Linked DNA regions of Drosophila melanogaster. The protein of the gene in region 1 interacts with the protein of each later gene in a pairwise test. Each region holds a gene or a part of one and is shown in the gene's direction. Other genes may lie near its edges.

What was found. Proteins that work in one complex are often made in the same cells at the same time.
Region 2: the proteins of CG1463 (region 1) and coro interact in a two-hybrid assay, tested with the Drosophila melanogaster proteins (one large-scale study listed by BioGRID).

What each region holds. Positions count from the first base shown.
Region 1 is NC_004354.4:12,606,609-12,613,129, reverse strand, and holds CG1463 (uncharacterized protein), read left to right. Parts: upstream 1-1,521; 5' UTR 1,522-1,578; coding exon 1,579-1,607; intron 1,608-1,659; coding exon 1,660-2,441; intron 2,442-2,495; coding exon 2,496-2,695; 3' UTR 2,696-3,153; downstream 3,154-6,521. Other genes in the region: Fpgs1 (folylpolyglutamate synthase 1), read right to left, coding at 1-20, 358-648; Sec16 (secretory 16), read right to left, coding at 5,882-6,521.
Region 2 is NT_033778.4:6,860,536-6,871,164, reverse strand, and holds coro (coronin), read left to right. Parts: upstream 1-3,369; 5' UTR 3,370-3,598; intron 3,599-3,640; exon of another isoform or gene 3,641-3,683; intron 3,684-4,024; exon of another isoform or gene 4,025-4,168; intron 4,169-4,223; 5' UTR 4,224-4,280; coding exon 4,281-4,478; intron 4,479-5,280; coding exon of another isoform or gene 5,281-5,298; intron 5,299-5,790; coding exon 5,791-6,057; intron 6,058-6,115; coding exon 6,116-6,529; intron 6,530-6,593; coding exon 6,594-6,887; intron 6,888-7,610; coding exon 7,611-7,817; intron 7,818-7,875; coding exon 7,876-8,103; 3' UTR 8,104-8,905; downstream 8,906-10,629.

The sequences.
Region 1 (6,521 bases):
TTTAACTGCTTAATGGCCAACTGAAAACGGTAGGAAATTAATTAATTAATAACAAACGAATTTGGTATTTAGCTGGGTCAGCATGACATATAGAAACATTTCACACTGAAGATGAAACATTTGCTACTGTAATACCAAATTTCATATTAATCACACACATAATTCTGAAAACACATGAATGGTTTTTATTATTTAGATTTAGAATAATCTCATTTTTGAAATCGAAAAGATAATGCTACGATTGTGAAATCAAAGGTATGATATTAATAAGTAATAGGTAATAAAACTATGACAAAGTAATTAAAAATTGTATCTGTTGGTTTCCAACTTGGGACTTGGGAATTGTTTTAGATTTACCTCAAAGGCTGCATTTGTATCCTTGTTATTGTTATCGCTGCTGCATTGGATATTGCCCGAGACATGATTTCCATTAATACTCTGCTGTGGTGGATTAAGTACGCGTTCCGCCAGGCTAACACCCGATCGGAATGCCGCCAGGTGCTGGATGCGCTGCATTTTCACTGTACTGAGGTTGGTCACCGTACTGTAGGTGCTCATTCTACTACAGTGGGAGCTCTCTCTACTGACGACCAGTGATCTGGGCTTGCGACTCTGTCGAACTAAGTAGCGCAACAGACAAGCAGCCATATCAATAGAGCCGGAATCGTAGACCTCCGACGAACGGCTCTTCGGCTCACTCGTAGTTTTCACTCACAGGTGATTGAGCGGTGGTATCTAATGACAAAAAAAAAACTGGTAAATAAACAAAATCTAATCGGCACGGAAACAGCGTTAAAATTGGGGTAGATCATATGCGACAGGCGCGCGTGTGCGTGGCTTGTAAATTGTAGGCTAGAGCAATTGACCGATAAGACTTTTTATACGCACAACACATCTAATTATAATAACTGATAACATCTAGTTACAAAATGTGCGTATTCAAATATTGCGCCACAAAATGTATAACGGGGAGTTGCTATCGTTTGCGATAAATAGATATACAAGCTCGATAACAAAAACATCGCGCACACACCTACGCAGCCTTCGACCCACACGCTGTGCAAATAAACATTGCTTATTATGTTCATTAGAATGAGCAAATAAAACTTGTTTTGACTTCCAGGTGATTTCGCACTCACTCGATTAGCAATCTGTTTAATTAACGCACTATTTGTGTTGCAATGAAATCAACGTAACAGCAAAACCATAAAACATGCGAGCACAACAACACAAAATAACATGAGTACAGCGAACAGCTGTTTCAGCGACATGCATGCCAAGGTGGCAATTTTCGAGGCGAATCTAGCTAATGAAAAATCTCAAACGTATGGCGTTACACTCTATACATTTAAATCGTAGTATTCAAATATGAACACTTTTGAACAAAAAAAATGTAACTAAACAACTATACTAAACAAACTAAACATTGTTAAAAATAAATAACCTTTACGTTAGCTATATTTTTAGCCTTTTCATTTAGCTACTTTTAGCTAGGCCAGCATCAGATGGTCAGCACTATTGAATGTAAACAATGCCAACACGTGGGTTCAGCTGAAATTGAAATGAATACAGACGACGATGGCCGATGAGACCAGCACTAAGACCAGGTACTGCCCAATTGTTTTTATTTGTAATCTAATAACTAACGAGAATCCACAGAACTATGCGCCTGGGAATGTGCGAGGTGTGCGCCGCAAAGGAGGCCTGCTACGCATGTCCCAAATGCGAGGTGAAAACATGCAGCCTGCCCTGCGTCCAGATCCATAAGAAGGAGCTCAACTGCGATGGCCAGCGGGATCGCACCAAGTTCGTACCGCTGAGCGAGATGACCTCGCGGGAATTCATGAGTGACTACTGCTTCTTGGAGGAGTGCACACGCTATGCAGAGAATCGAAAATCCGATCCGTGCAAGCGATTTACCCACGACCAAAGGAATCTCCCAGTGACTCAACATCGCATGCGGATGGCAGCCAAGAAGCGTAACATTAATCTGCGCTTGCAACTGGAGAATTTCAGTCGGCACAAGGAGAACACCACGTATCTAAACTGGAAACTGGGACGATTCCATTGGCGTATAGAGTGGCTGTTTGCAAATATTCCATACGAGGCAAGCCTTCCCCGGAATGTAACTCGATTTGTGGACAAGGAATGCAATGAGGAGCTCACGCTGCCCGATCTGGTAGCCAAGTATGTGGATCTGCGGCACGAGACGGCACGGGAACAACGCAAACTGCTGGCCAACCATCAGACTGCCGGTATTGGTCAGCTGAGTTTTTGGCTTAGAGCCGAGGGCGTGCGACGCAGCTCTACGAGGTGTTATCTCCTGGACTCGACCAAAACGCTGGCCGAGAATCTAGTCGGCAAAACCATCGTGGAGTTTCCCACCATTTTGGTCACCTACGATCCGAAGCCACCAGGAGGATATGAAGCCATCGACAGCAGTATGTTTTCATGTGTAAATCGACAATTTCATATATTCATTTTCATCTATCAAGGTGAGGAATTCGAGGAAGAGCACGAAGAGCAGGTGCCTGTAACCAAACCAGGAACATCCTCCAACGCAGTTGCGGAGGACTTAGATGATTCACATGATGTGTACTATAAACTGGCTGCAGCATTTGCTGGTGAAGATGTTAGTGAGACTGAAGACGACGAAGAATTCGAGGCACTCTACAGACAAAGTGTTGTACTGTAGAAACCAAGAACTATAGTACTATTGCCTGCCCAGAATTGGTCACCAGCAAAACACGGTCCCGTGTAATTAAAACAATTAGCTTTTATATTTTTACATAAGTTCTGTATTTTCTCATACGCATTTGATTTGATTTTTATTTTAGGCTTATTAAACATTAATAATTCATACCACACTTCGTTTCGATCTAGTTCCATTATTATCAACATCATCATATTACCAATCAATCATGATCATCATAATATAAGTATATATAAAGAAGTTGGAAAAATCAAGTTACAGAGCCTTGGGATTAATCGTAATTTGTGTACACATTTTGAGTACAGAGTTTTGTGGTCAATGCACAGCAGTTTGTCCCTATTTGAAGGATCTGTAGTTTAATTTTGATATACCAATTAGCATTTCGATTTGTACAGAATACATATGTGTGCCAGTATATACCTATATAAATTTATTATATTACTTTCATTCTTCCTATTCTTTGCTTTATATTTTTTTTTTGCCTGCACCAGTTATTTTTTTTTTTTGTTTACTATTTAAATTTAAAATTAAAGCATAAACAAACAAGTTCTAACAAATAAACATTTTCAAAATGCATTTTCAATTCAAACGAATAGTAAAAAAAAAAACAGAATAAACCATTTTAATTGTTCTAAAGATACATTTATATATATATATAATTGGAATCATTTGCATATTTCACACCAATTGTAAAAAAGAAACACAGAGGAGAATACATTGATAAGAGAAACCAGGGAGAACAATTCATTTGCTTCTTAAACGCTTAAATCAATCGAATATCAGCTTTCGTAGTTATATAGACAGATAGATCAGTTATATAGTATTTAGATGTGGAAAATACAGCAATGCATATTCAAAGTGAATTCCGAATTAGTGTCTGGACCTCCCTTCGAATACAAATTCATACAGCTAAACAAAAAATAATCATAAAAACTATGCAACATACAAAAGAAACATGTATATAAACAGAAATCGGGGAAGAGGTCGTGTGTGGATATATAAAGGGTGGGGGATTGAGGGATTTTTTAGGAATCAAGGTGGCGTATAGTTTACATAGAGAAAATTTACATATATAATTCGCTAGTCGTACATAAATCGCTTTCTTCATCGTTCCCTCAATTAAATCATTTACTAAACGTTAAGACATCGATCGCACACAAACACACACACGCACACATGCGCACAAATTGGTAAAATTAGGTTTTTATTTTCTTTGCAATTAAATTGGGTGAGTTAATTTAGTAGAAGGACACGCACAAAGATAGCACAGACAGACAGAAGTTGAACAAACTGTAGAATCTTGAAAATATCGTAGGACCAACTTTTCCCCTGCTGGAAAGTTGACTTTTCTCGTGTGGATGTGTGTGTAAATTTAATGCATGACTGTGTGTGTTTGTAGTGTGTGTGTGTGCGTGTGTGTGTGTGTGAGCGGTCATCGGTTGCAAAAGCCTTTCTTTTTTACGTAGTTTCGAAGTGCTGCTGCTGCAAAAAAGAGAGGAACCCCATCAATCAGGCATCATCCTATCAACCTATCCATCAGTCTCAACTCACATCTCGTTGGCATTTGGGGCAATCCTTTTCACACCCTCACACTCTCCTCCTCCGTCAAATGCTCCATATCTCGGGAGTAGTGCTCCGGCCAGTCCCTCCCCTGATTACCTACTGCTGGGGTACAAAGTAACCGCCTTGGGGCACCGCAGCCGGCGCCATCATGGGGGCCAGCACATTCTCCGGTGCCGCCGACATTGGCGCACCCGAAGGATTGAACACATCCACGTAGGAGTTCTTTAGCGCTGCAGAATGAGAAAGAAAAATAAGAATAAGTTCCTTCGTCGGTCAGATTCCTAACTACACCGATTAGTTTTGAATTTCTTTATATCGGACTTACTGCGGTTGCGTTGCATCTTGAACATGTTCGACTGCAGCTTGGGCTGCGGTCCGCCGGGAACGGCCGCGGGATTGGGCGCCGCTAATGCCGCCGGTGCAGATGACGGGACAGAAAGTGGAGCCGGCGATGGTACCGTTGGAATCAGCTCGGGTGCCGGAGCAGCCGTGTAATCAATGGGGCTGCCATACGTTTGCGGCTGAGACGGCGTTTGCTGATCCATCAACGGTGCTGATTGATGGCTGCCCGGCGCATTGTTAGCCACAGGCATTAAACCCATTCCCAATCCGGCATTACCGATTGGCGCAGCGGGTGGTCCTCCCAGAGCCATGCCCAGATCACTCATTTTGGGTGGCGGCTTAAAGCTTTCAGCCTCGTCGCCGTTGCCTTCGGTGTTTGTCCAGCATTTGCGCTCCTTGTCCCAGACGATGGCCGGATTCTTGTCATCCGGCAGGATCATTTGGTTCTTCGGCTTTAGCGACAACTTGTTCCAGAGTCCGCCAAACCAGCCCGCATTTTTATTCCCAGGTGCGCTGTGTTCAAAATGATATATACTATTTAGAAGTTTGTCTCCCGCTTTTGATTAATTTGTTTTCCTTGAATTGTACTTCTCACCACACCCAATTTGATTGGAATTCGATTTTGGACTCACCCAAGATCGCTGCCGGAGTTGGCCTGTTTGCCCGACGCCTGCTGTTTGCCTGCAGCCTCAGAGGAGCCTACAGGCTTGGTTTTCTGACCAGGATCAGCCACACCACCGGAACCACCATCGTCCTCATCTCCGTAGCTCTTTGACTTGGGCATGGATATCGCCGGGCGCGTCTGTTGCTGCAGCTGTTGTGCGGATTGCAAAATTGAGGTTGGAGTTAAGAAATGGCAACGAATTAGTCTTCTGCGTGATGCAAACGAATTATTCATAAGTCATAGATTATAGGTAAGAGTGTTTTGGGTTGGTTAGTAACAGAGTAGTTATGGGTTAGTTAAATCGAATGAACAACGGAAACGTTTCAAAGTAACTGGCGCAGTCAAAAAATCTGGCTCACAATTATCGTATATAAGGCTTAGTGATAACATATTGCTTAGGGACGCATTAAGACTAGTTATAGATTTACAAGCTAACAGGCTAAGACAAGCTCCAGGTACAGTACAGAAAGCTCCCAAAAAAGCAGCGATGCACTTGCTCATCCTTATTTTCTTGTTACCTAACTCATTGAATTTGTAAATACTGACTGATCATTTGTGGGTATTACTAAGTCTAAAACAGCAAACTGCAGTCAGTTTGTTTACAATTTCTTCTTAGATCTAAGATCCAAGCCAGCATTTGTGGATGTGCTGCTTCGGTGGCCTCTTCGAGTGGGTGCATCGATGTCGAAGGTGCGCACTGCGGCTCCCGGTGGCACCTGTTGCTCCTTTTTGCTGTCCAAATAATTCTCGAATCGACTGAGGCTCTGCTCCACTTCGGAGCACATTTTCTTGTAGTTAAGTGGTATGGCTGGATTGGCTATCAGCTCCTTCATGGACCACACGTGCTGTGGCTGGGCCGCGGAGGTAGCTGCCTCCACGGATGCCGGTGTTCTCTCGACTCTCTGTTTCTCACCGCTTGGTATAATCCCATACTTATTGAGCAGTTGATGCGTATAGTAATCGCCATCATCGAAGCTCTCATCGTCGTCGGCATAGGGGAATAAATCCTCATCACCATCTCCATACTCATCCTCCTCGCCCTCTTCTTCGGCCTGCTCCTCGCCCTCGGCATCCTCATCTATAACATAATCGTGGAGCATGTAGTTCCTATAGCGCTGTAGATCCCCACGATCTGCATTGGCCTCCGGATCATACGAGTTGCTTTTGAGTTGACTCTGCCCCTGGGTCAGTGGCATATCAATGGGATACGTTCCATTAAAGACAATATGTGGCTTTCGC
Region 2 (10,629 bases), on another chromosome or scaffold:
CTTGGAACCGAAAAATATAGATCGCTAATAATGCTTAAGAAAGCCCAAAACCTTAATTTAGAATTTAATCTACAAAACCTACATAGGGTGATTTATCTATTATTTCTAAGCCATATCTGGATAAATTAACTTTTACTTGACTACACCTAGAATAAAATTAACCTTGATTTTAGGAAACCGTCATTGATTCAAAATATCTCCACCCATTTAAGCATCAGTGTACATTAGTTACGGATTTTTCTTTTTCTTGTAATGGCAACATACATATAAAGAAAAAAAATTTTCTTGAAAGCTTTTCTAAAACCATTGATTTAACTTTTCTAAAATGAATATTACATGGATATCTCTAGACGTAAGAAAAGTCTTCTTTGTTCAATTGCTCGTCTTTATAGCGTTTGAGAATAAAAGGTGATTTTCTAAAATCCCGGGATAATTTTTTCTCAGTGCTTCACGTTTCACATTAATCAGGTAGACATCGTTTTACCTGGAATACGCGTTCAGGGCTATAGTTAGGCATCGAATGTGTAATTCTTAAAAGGGAAAGGTACTTTTATTCGCCCATTCGGTCTCAAAAAAATCCATGTACTTTGAATTTCTAGGGTGCACAGGCATTCACAATTGCCGCCCGGTCTGACTAAGCGCAAATGGAAAAATAGAAACAAACGGATGGCGGTCACAGTGGGGGGAGCTGGGGAGAAAAAGAACGAGCGGCAATTAAGACAGCAACAAAAGCCAGCGCCACTTGTGATGGCGAGGGGACGTGATGGGTGTCGGGTGGGGCACTGCATATGCATGGGGTTAATTTTAGCAGCAGAGTTCCACTTTCACTCGTACAGCGACGACACCCACTGTGCTGCAAGCCAGTGAGTCTGCCGCGACACTTGCGCGCTTTTTGTCAAAAACTTTGGCTAATCGCCGTCAGGCACGCACACTCTGCAATCAGTTTGATGAACCTTCAACACACACACGCCTGTGTGTGTATGTGCATGTATATGAGCTGCACAACCAATGACGTTGCGCCTGCATCAATGACATCATCATCATCATCATCGCCATCAACCTCACCATCCAGTCGAGATGAGGCGAACGGCGAAAGTTTCCAGTGCAGCCGACAGCCGATAAACAGCGGGCCCCTTATCAGGGGTGACTCATGCATGTGGCATTGATCATTGGCCAGCTGATTAGGTGTCGCTGCAGCTGTGCACAGGAAGAAAAGATACCACGAGTTAATCAAAACCAAGCCGCGCAACGCAAACATATATGTATACAATGTATGATGCCGTATTGATAACACCTGACTGAGCTACAACTGGTCTGATATCTTCACGTATCAAGACAAAGTTTTAATCCATAATTATATAGTATTAATTTTGTTTTAAACCACCTGCCTCTATGTAATTGTGGTGACACGTTAAAGGGAAGCACTTGAGTTTACAAAACTCCATATCCAATAACTCTACACATGAGTTAAGCGGAGTATGTTTAATACATATTTATTAATAACAGTTTTGTCTATACAAGAATGGTTTTGTGCCCTATGCTTTAGGAAAAGTTTGAACTATCAGTTGTAGCTACTTTAATCCGGAAACCATGATGGCATGTGGTCCTACACATTTAATAGATTCTTTTTCGAGTGTACTTGGGGAATAGAGATGTCATTATAACGGAAGTGGCCGGTGAACACAACGTGTCGACAAAGCGGCAAGATTTGCAATCAAGCATTAAGTCAATTCTCGGCCAGTCCCCGATCGCTGGACCATCGCATTCGCATCAATTCAGCGACGGTTGCATCTCTCGCGATTTCAACACAAATTGCTGGAGGGCCCCACAACAGCCCCATTGTCAAATGGTTAACGCGATTACAAGACAGTCGCTGCTGAAAGTTGGTTGACACCCGCTGGTTAAGTGGCGTGCGGATTAGTTGGTTACTTTTCAATAATGATTCAGCAACAGCCTGTTTCTAATTCTGGCAGAGACGCCTCCTAGAACCAAAATCTGACTCAGGACCTTTTTCAAGACCTTTTTCAAACGGAATTCTATTAATTCTAATTATACTATCAAAATCATTATGTTATTTAACCCCATTTCATTGTTATTAAGGTATACATACCTTTCATTTATAGAGAAGTTTATTCTGATTCGTCGAAAACGTTGCAACGATTCCGACCCTATGAAGAATATATTCCTGATCAGAATCGCAGGTTATAGGTAATTTCCGAATGTACTCAAGCGAGTTTTTAGAAGAAAAGAAAAACACTGTTGAACAATTTGAGAAACTAGTGACGCTCGCACCTTTGACATCTATTGTGAATAAATATAATACTAGACTTAAACACAATAACTAGGTAGATTGTGGACTTCCATCTAATGTGAGTTTTGAAGATCCGGTACTAATTTGAACCTTTGACTTAATTTCCTTTCGAATATCTTCAGAAACAGCCTTACATTTGGGGCCCACTGTAAAGAATGGAATGCAATGTGATGCTGGGTATTCAATCACACCACCCGGGTAATGGGCGTCGGGAATGAGTTCTTCAAAGATTTTCATTTCTTCAGCGATTTTCTTGAACCCACACTTCCGTTAATCGCTGAGTGGTCCGCTGATAAAACCACCGACGGTCAAGTTGATTAAGCGCAGAAGAGGCCACTTTTTTGGCCATTGCGAGCGGAATTGCGAATGCAATTATGATCGATCGGGGAAGTGGGAGTGGATGGGGGTGGCTCGACTATGATAACTCAGGCATGGCAGGTGCCAGCGATGCCAACGAAATAAATAAACACATCAAATGCGATTTACAACGCTGCTTTGAGCATCGTGCACTGTGTTTGTATATGAAAATTTCATTTCGCCTAAGATGATTTAATTTTCTATTAATAAGTTTGACCTTCAGCCGCGAAACAAAAATTTTCCCGCCTGCAAACGAAGGTGTTTGGCATATAAACACATAAATAACAACGCATACACACGCCGCAGATATATATATATATATATAGATAGATATATTCCGGGTACAGTGCTTAGGAGTATTTTCCAGTTGGTGGCAAACATTTCGGCGTCGTTTTGGACTACATAGGCGTAGCACTTAACATTATCTCTGTGGTGTTTAGCCAACTCCGAGCTGATATTTCCTTATCAGTGGAGAGGCCATGTCGATACCCACACCCACCCAAGAACAAAGCCCTCCGGGGCTCACCTTGTGGCCAAAAACAGACAGCGTAGAAAGTAATCAATTCTGGGGTCTGCTTTGGGGCCAGTTTAAAGGGGTCAATGACAAAGTTTAGTGCTTGCAATAAATATGAATATCTTTGAGCAAAACAAAACGAAGCAACGAGGCAAAAGAGGCAAATAATTTTATGGCACTTCTCTGATTAAAAACGAAAGCTGTTCGGAGTGGAAGCCTGCCGGGCTCGGCCCAACCCAGAAATGAATTCTGCTTCAAACACGTAGCTATCTAGAAGTCTCCCGGAGTGTTAGGTATATGTTTGGGCTTAGGTTGGCCTGCGGGATCGGTTTGCTCAGCCATAACTTACGTGTTGGAAGGCTACTCATTGCTGGAGTGGCTATTTTGGCGTTATGATGTCATCCTGAAAGAAAGGGGTATGGAAAACTGATAGTTCGACACGTTCCGGCTGGCGCTTCATTAACGAAAGTGGACCCGAATGTGGCAGTTGCCAAGTGGCAGGTGAAAGCGTTCTAGGCGCCTCCCGCCGTTTCCGGCGCTTTCAGTCGCCAACATTAGTGATGCCATAAGCAATTTGATGCAACCTCTCGCGGACAAAGTCAGCGCGTCAATAGCAAGCTGCGAATGGAAAGCTCATTGATTTTCGCAACAAGCGAAATTAGCATATGCAAATTTATTGAACTAATCGAGGCTGCGAAGCGCGGTGAAAGAAAAACGCGTTAAGCTAACACATAAGTGAGCGAAGCTGAAAGCGAATAACATTGCTATTCGGTCGGTTTATGCGTCGCTCAGAACTCGGATAAGGCTAAGATCACGATTTTCAGGTTTCACAGAACTGTGTAGAAAACAAAACCTATCAAATGAGTGTTCAAATCTCTGCCAAAAAGTAGGGGTTTCATATCTCATTCAGGTGCGGAAAGAATACGGCTAAACGATTTCGCTTGAAGACTTGTTATTAAGGGCAAAGGGTGGAAAATACCAAACGCGTAAGAAATTCCCCTACATTGCTAACTATCCTTCGTACGTCTCATTTCTTTTCAGAGCTAGACGTAGAGAAGCTCAGGACTGATCGCTGACCCAAGCCACTGCAGCATCAAGATGTCATTTCGCGTAGTGCGCAGCTCCAAGTTCCGCCACGTCTACGGACAGGCTCTCAAGCGGGAGCAGTGCTACGACAACATACGGGTATCCAAGTCCAGCTGGGACTCCACATTCTGCGCGGTGAATCCCAAGTTCCTGGCCATTATCGTAGAGTCGGCGGGCGGCGGAGCCTTCATCGTCCTGCCACACAACAAAGTGAGTGCGCCACCGGACCTATTATAGTTGCACTCGTCTACGTGCGTCTGCCCCGACGCGGCCAGCTTGGTGGGGTATTTTTAAACAAGACAATGGGCAACTATTTATAGCGCCCTTTTGGCATAAAGTTTGCGGCCATTTGCGGGCTTGTTGCCACGTCGCGAGTGACGTCGACGGATTTCGCATGACTCCACCCAATCTCACATGTGTTTATAAATAGTTATAGATTCTGCTACTACCGCGGCAGCGATACTGCTAGCTGGCGCACTTTTGTAATTTGGCCACTAGCCAACATGACAAACAAATCGTCTAATTTTAGAGAGAGGCAGAGGAGCAGCCAGTTAAATGAATACAAAAATGATATTCGGGCGAATCATTGCATCGAAATGCACACTCAGCTCGGCGACTTATTCCGCTAAAAACTAATTGTTTGTATTCCACTAAATTGCATTTTCAATCTCAAAATCTTTTGGCCGTCCTGCCCCAGATTCAGCTATTCGGGCTTCTGTTTAGTTGTAGTTTTGCGCGCAGCTCCAGCAAATAGTGTGGGCAGCAGAAGCACCCATTCCCCTAATCTTCCGATGCTCCTCTTTTGATGAAAACATATATGGAAGTACACCGATGGTCGTTCCATTTGAAACAAAAATTTGTATGCAAAACGCGCGGCAAGCGATCGTTTTTTTCACTCTAAGCAGTTGCCGCTTTTTTAAGTGATGATTTCTATGTGGAGCGGCTTTCACACGCCCTATTTTACTTATTTTATGGGCACTGGATGATGAGTGAGATCCATCTAGTCGCCAAGGTTGGCCGCATGTGGCAAGTGTAGGCAAGAACAAGCACAAGTTCTTGAAAAAACCAAAATAGATTTACACTCATGGAACTCATTCGAGAAACTTTTTGGAATGATACATTTTAATACATTTATTGAAAGCGATGAACAAAGAATATTATCTAATAATATATAACAATGTTAAATTTGAAATAGTTTACCATTACTATTTGTTATAATATGCTTCGAAATATATAGATTTCGATGGGAGCTATTCGGCATTCCAATTTTCTATAATTCTAGGGCCATATTCGGAAGCAATTGGCATGAAGTTTACAATTATAAATTGCCTGCTTGGCAGATTAGCGAACATAGCAGAACCGAGTGCAGTCGGAGTCGGCTATAAATAATAATTCAGGAATTGGGCTAATGGGTCGCGAGGTTGCAGTTTTGCAATGGTTGCTGCTCATGACTTAGTCGCCATCAATTATAAAAATTTACTGTGGCGTATCGAGCTAATTGAAATTTAATGGACTCTTTCAGGTTGGTCGCATTGCGGCTGACCACCCTTTGGTGGGCGGTCACAAGGGTCCTGTGCTGGACATCGCCTGGTGCCCCCACAACGACAACGTGATCGCCTCCGGCTCAGAGGACTGTGTGGTCAAAGTGTGGCAGATCCCCGATGGCGGGCTGTCGCGAACACTCACCGAACCCGTGGTCGACCTGGTTTTCCACCAGCGTCGCGTGGGTCTGGTGTTGTGGCATCCCTCTGCGCTCAACGTGCTGCTTACCGCCGGCTCCGATAACCAGGTGAGCGAATGCTAACACTTCTTCAGAAGCCCATGCTTATACTCTCTGTATTGCGAAGGTCGTGATTTGGAACGTGGGCACTGGTGAAATCCTCGTGCACATCGACTCCCATCCGGACATCGTTTACAGCGCCTGCTTCAACTGGGATGGCTCTAAGTTGGTTACCACCTGCAAGGATAAAAAGATCCGCATCTACGATCCGCGCACTGCCGAGCTGGAGAGCGAAGCCATGTGTCATGAGGGCTCCAAGGCCACGAGGGCCATTTTCCTACGTCACGGTCTGATCTTCACCACAGGCTTCAACCGTAGCTCGGAGCGTCAGTACTCCCTGCGCGCACCGGATGCCCTTAACGAACCCATTGTCATGGTGGAGCTGGACACGTCCAACGGCGTAATGTTCCCTCTTTACGACGCAGACACGAACATGATCTACTTGTGTGGAAAAGGTGACTCGGTCATTCGGTATTTCGAGGTTAGTACAAGTAAATCTACAATATTACATATGAATATTATCTAACCAAAATCTCATCGAACAGGTAACGCCCGAACCTCCTTTTGTGCACTACATAAACACGTTTCAGACTACAGAGCCGCAGCGTGGTATTGGTCTGATGCCCAAGCGAGGCTGTGATGTGACCACCTGCGAGGTCGCCAAGTTCTATCGCATGAACAACAACGGTCTGTGTCAGGTCATCTCGATGACTGTGCCGCGCAAATCGGATCTTTTCCAGGAGGATCTCTACCCCGATACGCTAGCGGAAGACGCTGCCATCACCGCGGAGGAGTGGATCGATGGCAAGGATGCGGATCCGATCACATTTTCGCTCAAAGTAAGTGGCTAAGGTGCAGAAGCAGCTCAGACTTTTATTCCGTGTTGCGAATACAGCGCTCGCCGCCGAATGCGGCAACGGTTCGGCCACACTGCCAACCATTCCGCCGGCGATAAGAGCGTACAAGATATAGGATATATATCAGCATGTGCGCCAGCGGGGCTTGTCCACAGATGGCAATGCGGCTCGAAGTCGATGAGGCAGTCGCTGCCACTGTGGACGCCCCTTCTACAATGTATTCCAACGGCTTTTGCAGTTGCTTTTGTCTGCTAGCACAAGGACTCCAAGTGAGCTACTTGTGAGTTCCGTTTAAAGCTTACTCCCAGCATTTGCCGGTGGCTACCTACCAGCGTGTGATGCCTGCGCTTGCTTTACTTACGTTTTTTCTGCGTTATCTACGTTTGTGCCTTGTCCGCCCAGCCACATTCCACTCCAATACACAGACTACAGTCCTCGTTCTCCGTTGTACAATGTCACTTGAGACGAGGCATCTTAAGAATGTTTTAGTGACGACCGGAATAAAGAGTATTCACAATGATCTAAAATGGTTTAGTATTCTAAATGTTAGCTAACTTATTAAAGTCTCCTATTGGATACAGTAACACGCCGCATAAATGCACACTTGGCCCTAACACGCACGCGAATGCGCGTGGCGCTTGTCGTTGTGTTCATTGTTGTTTGTTGTGTTCTGAAACGAACAGATTTTCTTACCCGCCTAATCAGGATCGCGTTTCCATTGTACAGGGTGGCTACGTGTCCTCGTCGGTAAACAAATCGCTACCAGCGAAGAAGGCGGGCAACATCCTGAACAAGCCTAGAGGCGACAGCGCTAGCTCCGGTGCAACGAGCAGCAGCGCGGGCGGCGGCAACTTTGCGTCCGGAAATAACAATGAGGCTAGCGAAGGTGGACCGCCTGCAGCGGTTTTATCGGTGAGTACTTGCACTCCTTCAGCGGTTGTATGATTAACTTATTGGTTCACTTCAAAAGGAAAAGGACCTGCGCACCATACAAGACGAGATCCGCAAACTTAAGGCGATCATCGTCAAGCAAGAGAACCGCATCCGCGCTCTGGAGGCCAAGGAGGACGCCCGCAACAAGAATGGAAGCGATGCTGCGCCGGCTTCAGCGGGAGCAGCCACGTCTGACGGCAAAGCCAGTGAAAGTGCCAACGACCACGCGTCCACATCAGCCGGAACGTCAAAGGACGAGGACTAGGTCTAGCAATGAAACGAGGACTGAACTGATAAAAATGGGCGGAATGGATTGGAGGAGAGACAGAGAACTGCTTGTAGAAGCTCGTAGCTACGCTTAATTTCTCTATTGCAACAAAGCGCGCTGAGGACGAATTGAAAAAGAACTTATTGTCTATTACCATTATGGTTTCGATTATTTATTTTTTATAATTTAATATTAGCGAAATCAGTTGAGTGCGGGTGTGGCACAGATAGGGTTAGAGAATGCCGAGCTAAATCATCTAATCGAACTTAAGCGAGCATAACCGAGCAGACCTGGACGCTTAACGTATAAAACATAACATAAAACTACATCCTGCCAAAAATATATAAAAAACCTAACGAACTACCTACATTTTGCGCCCAAAATCAAGCAGAGCGAAGGGCAGGTACTCGGCCCTTTGATCGGCTTGTTGTTACGCAAGTATGAAATTGTTGTAAATTTAACAAAGGCAAATCATAGACTAAACCTCAATCACTTAAGAGTTAACACCTACCTACCAAATTTGTACGAGCTCCTTTCTGTAACGTCTGTATATTTGTACGTCCCGGAAGTTTTCATGACAATAGCTGATAGAATCGATACTGTTCATCCTAGCTGAGGCCCCCTTAATCAGTCACATTTCCCTGCAAATTGTCGTGTCAAACATAGCGAATTTAGTAAGAAAGTGATGGGGGTCATCGGACTTAATTCGTTTTCGTAATCAAAATTTTATTGTTCAAACTAATGATAAGCTGTATTTTGAAATAATAAGAGTAACAATAAATGCAACAAAATCAGAAAGAAAGTAAGAAACCATCGAAACTATTTTTATAAAAATTTGTTTACTTTTCTTTTCTTTCATTTGATTTTACTTTCATTAGTTTTGTTAGAGAACCGAGGGCGAGAGCAGCGTCATTAAACACCTACCGATTTTGTAATTCACAACCATTGTAAAATGAAGACTATATACATATACATACATAAATACTCTATATACAAATAATTTACAATTTGATACGGAATAAAACAAAATACAATGCCAGAAGAAGTTGGGTGCTAATAATGGAGGTGTTTCGTATCTAATTCTTTTCGTAATGTGTGTTCTTTTAGCAGCATTTTCAAATATGTAGATGTTAGTCGACAATGGAATTTTTACCAGCTGCACTTTAAACTAATTGACAACTTTTAATTGCAGAAATAAGCTCATCCATGCGTTATTCATTGCCGAGCCTATGTGTTCGGTTCAATTGAATATGCAAATTCGTTTAATTTTGCCTAAACAGCTTTTGAGCATACTGCCGATGTGTTGTGTGTAATTATTACCTCAGCGAGCAAACCAAAAAAATGCAATTACAATTTACGTGTACAACGATTCTGACATTTTAATTAAACTTGGCCAAGTGCGCTTTTGTGGGTGGCGCGTGGCAATTATGATATAGTGTGTTGCCGACCAAGTTGTTGATTTAATTAAAATTATGTTTGTTATGCAATTTGACTCACTGCAAGTTTCAGCGATTATCGGTTGCAGTCGGTAGCTGTGGGCCATCTTGGTTAGCCAACAGTAAAGGCCATCTAGCTGCTCTAGAGCAACCAGACGTGGACTTGATATTCGGAGTTCAACATTAAATACTATCAATTATATTAAGTAAGTTCGATCAAATTATTAACTGAGTCATAGATGCATTTGTTAACTTTGAACTAAGATTTCGTTTTTCAGACTGTCAATAAATTTCAGCCGGCGTCGAGATGTACGAGTATTTCAGTTAGTAATTAATCGTAACAAACTTTCAGTACTGGCTTAAAGTATTCCATTTGGTAATGAGGTCTTGAAAAAAGTTAACAGTCGGTTTCGGATTAGGGTAATGGAATTTGTAAAGCAATGATAGCTAAATGTGTAGGTTGTTTTATTTTTAGCGCTTTACTTGTTTAAAGACCCAATGCACAGTTTCCTCCAACCCTTCTCCAACTGTTCATAAAAAAATTATATGCAAAGGTGAAGGGTTCTTCCCTAAATAAATGTTCTATTCTACGTGGCTTTTGCACGATGTGATTAGAAATGTGATCTGGCCGTCAAATGGATGAATTAAAATGGCCATTTAAGAAGTCATTTGTCAAGTGATGTATCCATTCTTGAAATTGCTTGGTAACTTGTTTAACATTTGGCTTTCCTACCAATTTAAAAGTAACCTTCAAAAAACCAGCTGGACATCACCTAACTTTATGAATTTCCAAGGACAATTCATTACACTATATGCACTTACTGCAGCATTAGTTGTCAGTACTGTGATTATCCTTGGTAGTAACTTGGGTAGTACATTTATGCAAAAATTACATTGATTGTGCATTCTTCAGTAATCCAGACAGATTGGACCAAAGCCGCTATCAAATCAAGTTATAATCATGACTTTTGATGGGCCAGTAGATTATGATGCCCGGCGGCAGTAAAGGCCAAGCCTAATTTATGTCTACTTCCGCATCCAGGTAAGTTTACGGCCTTCTATTAACATTAACGCTCTACGATTGTCG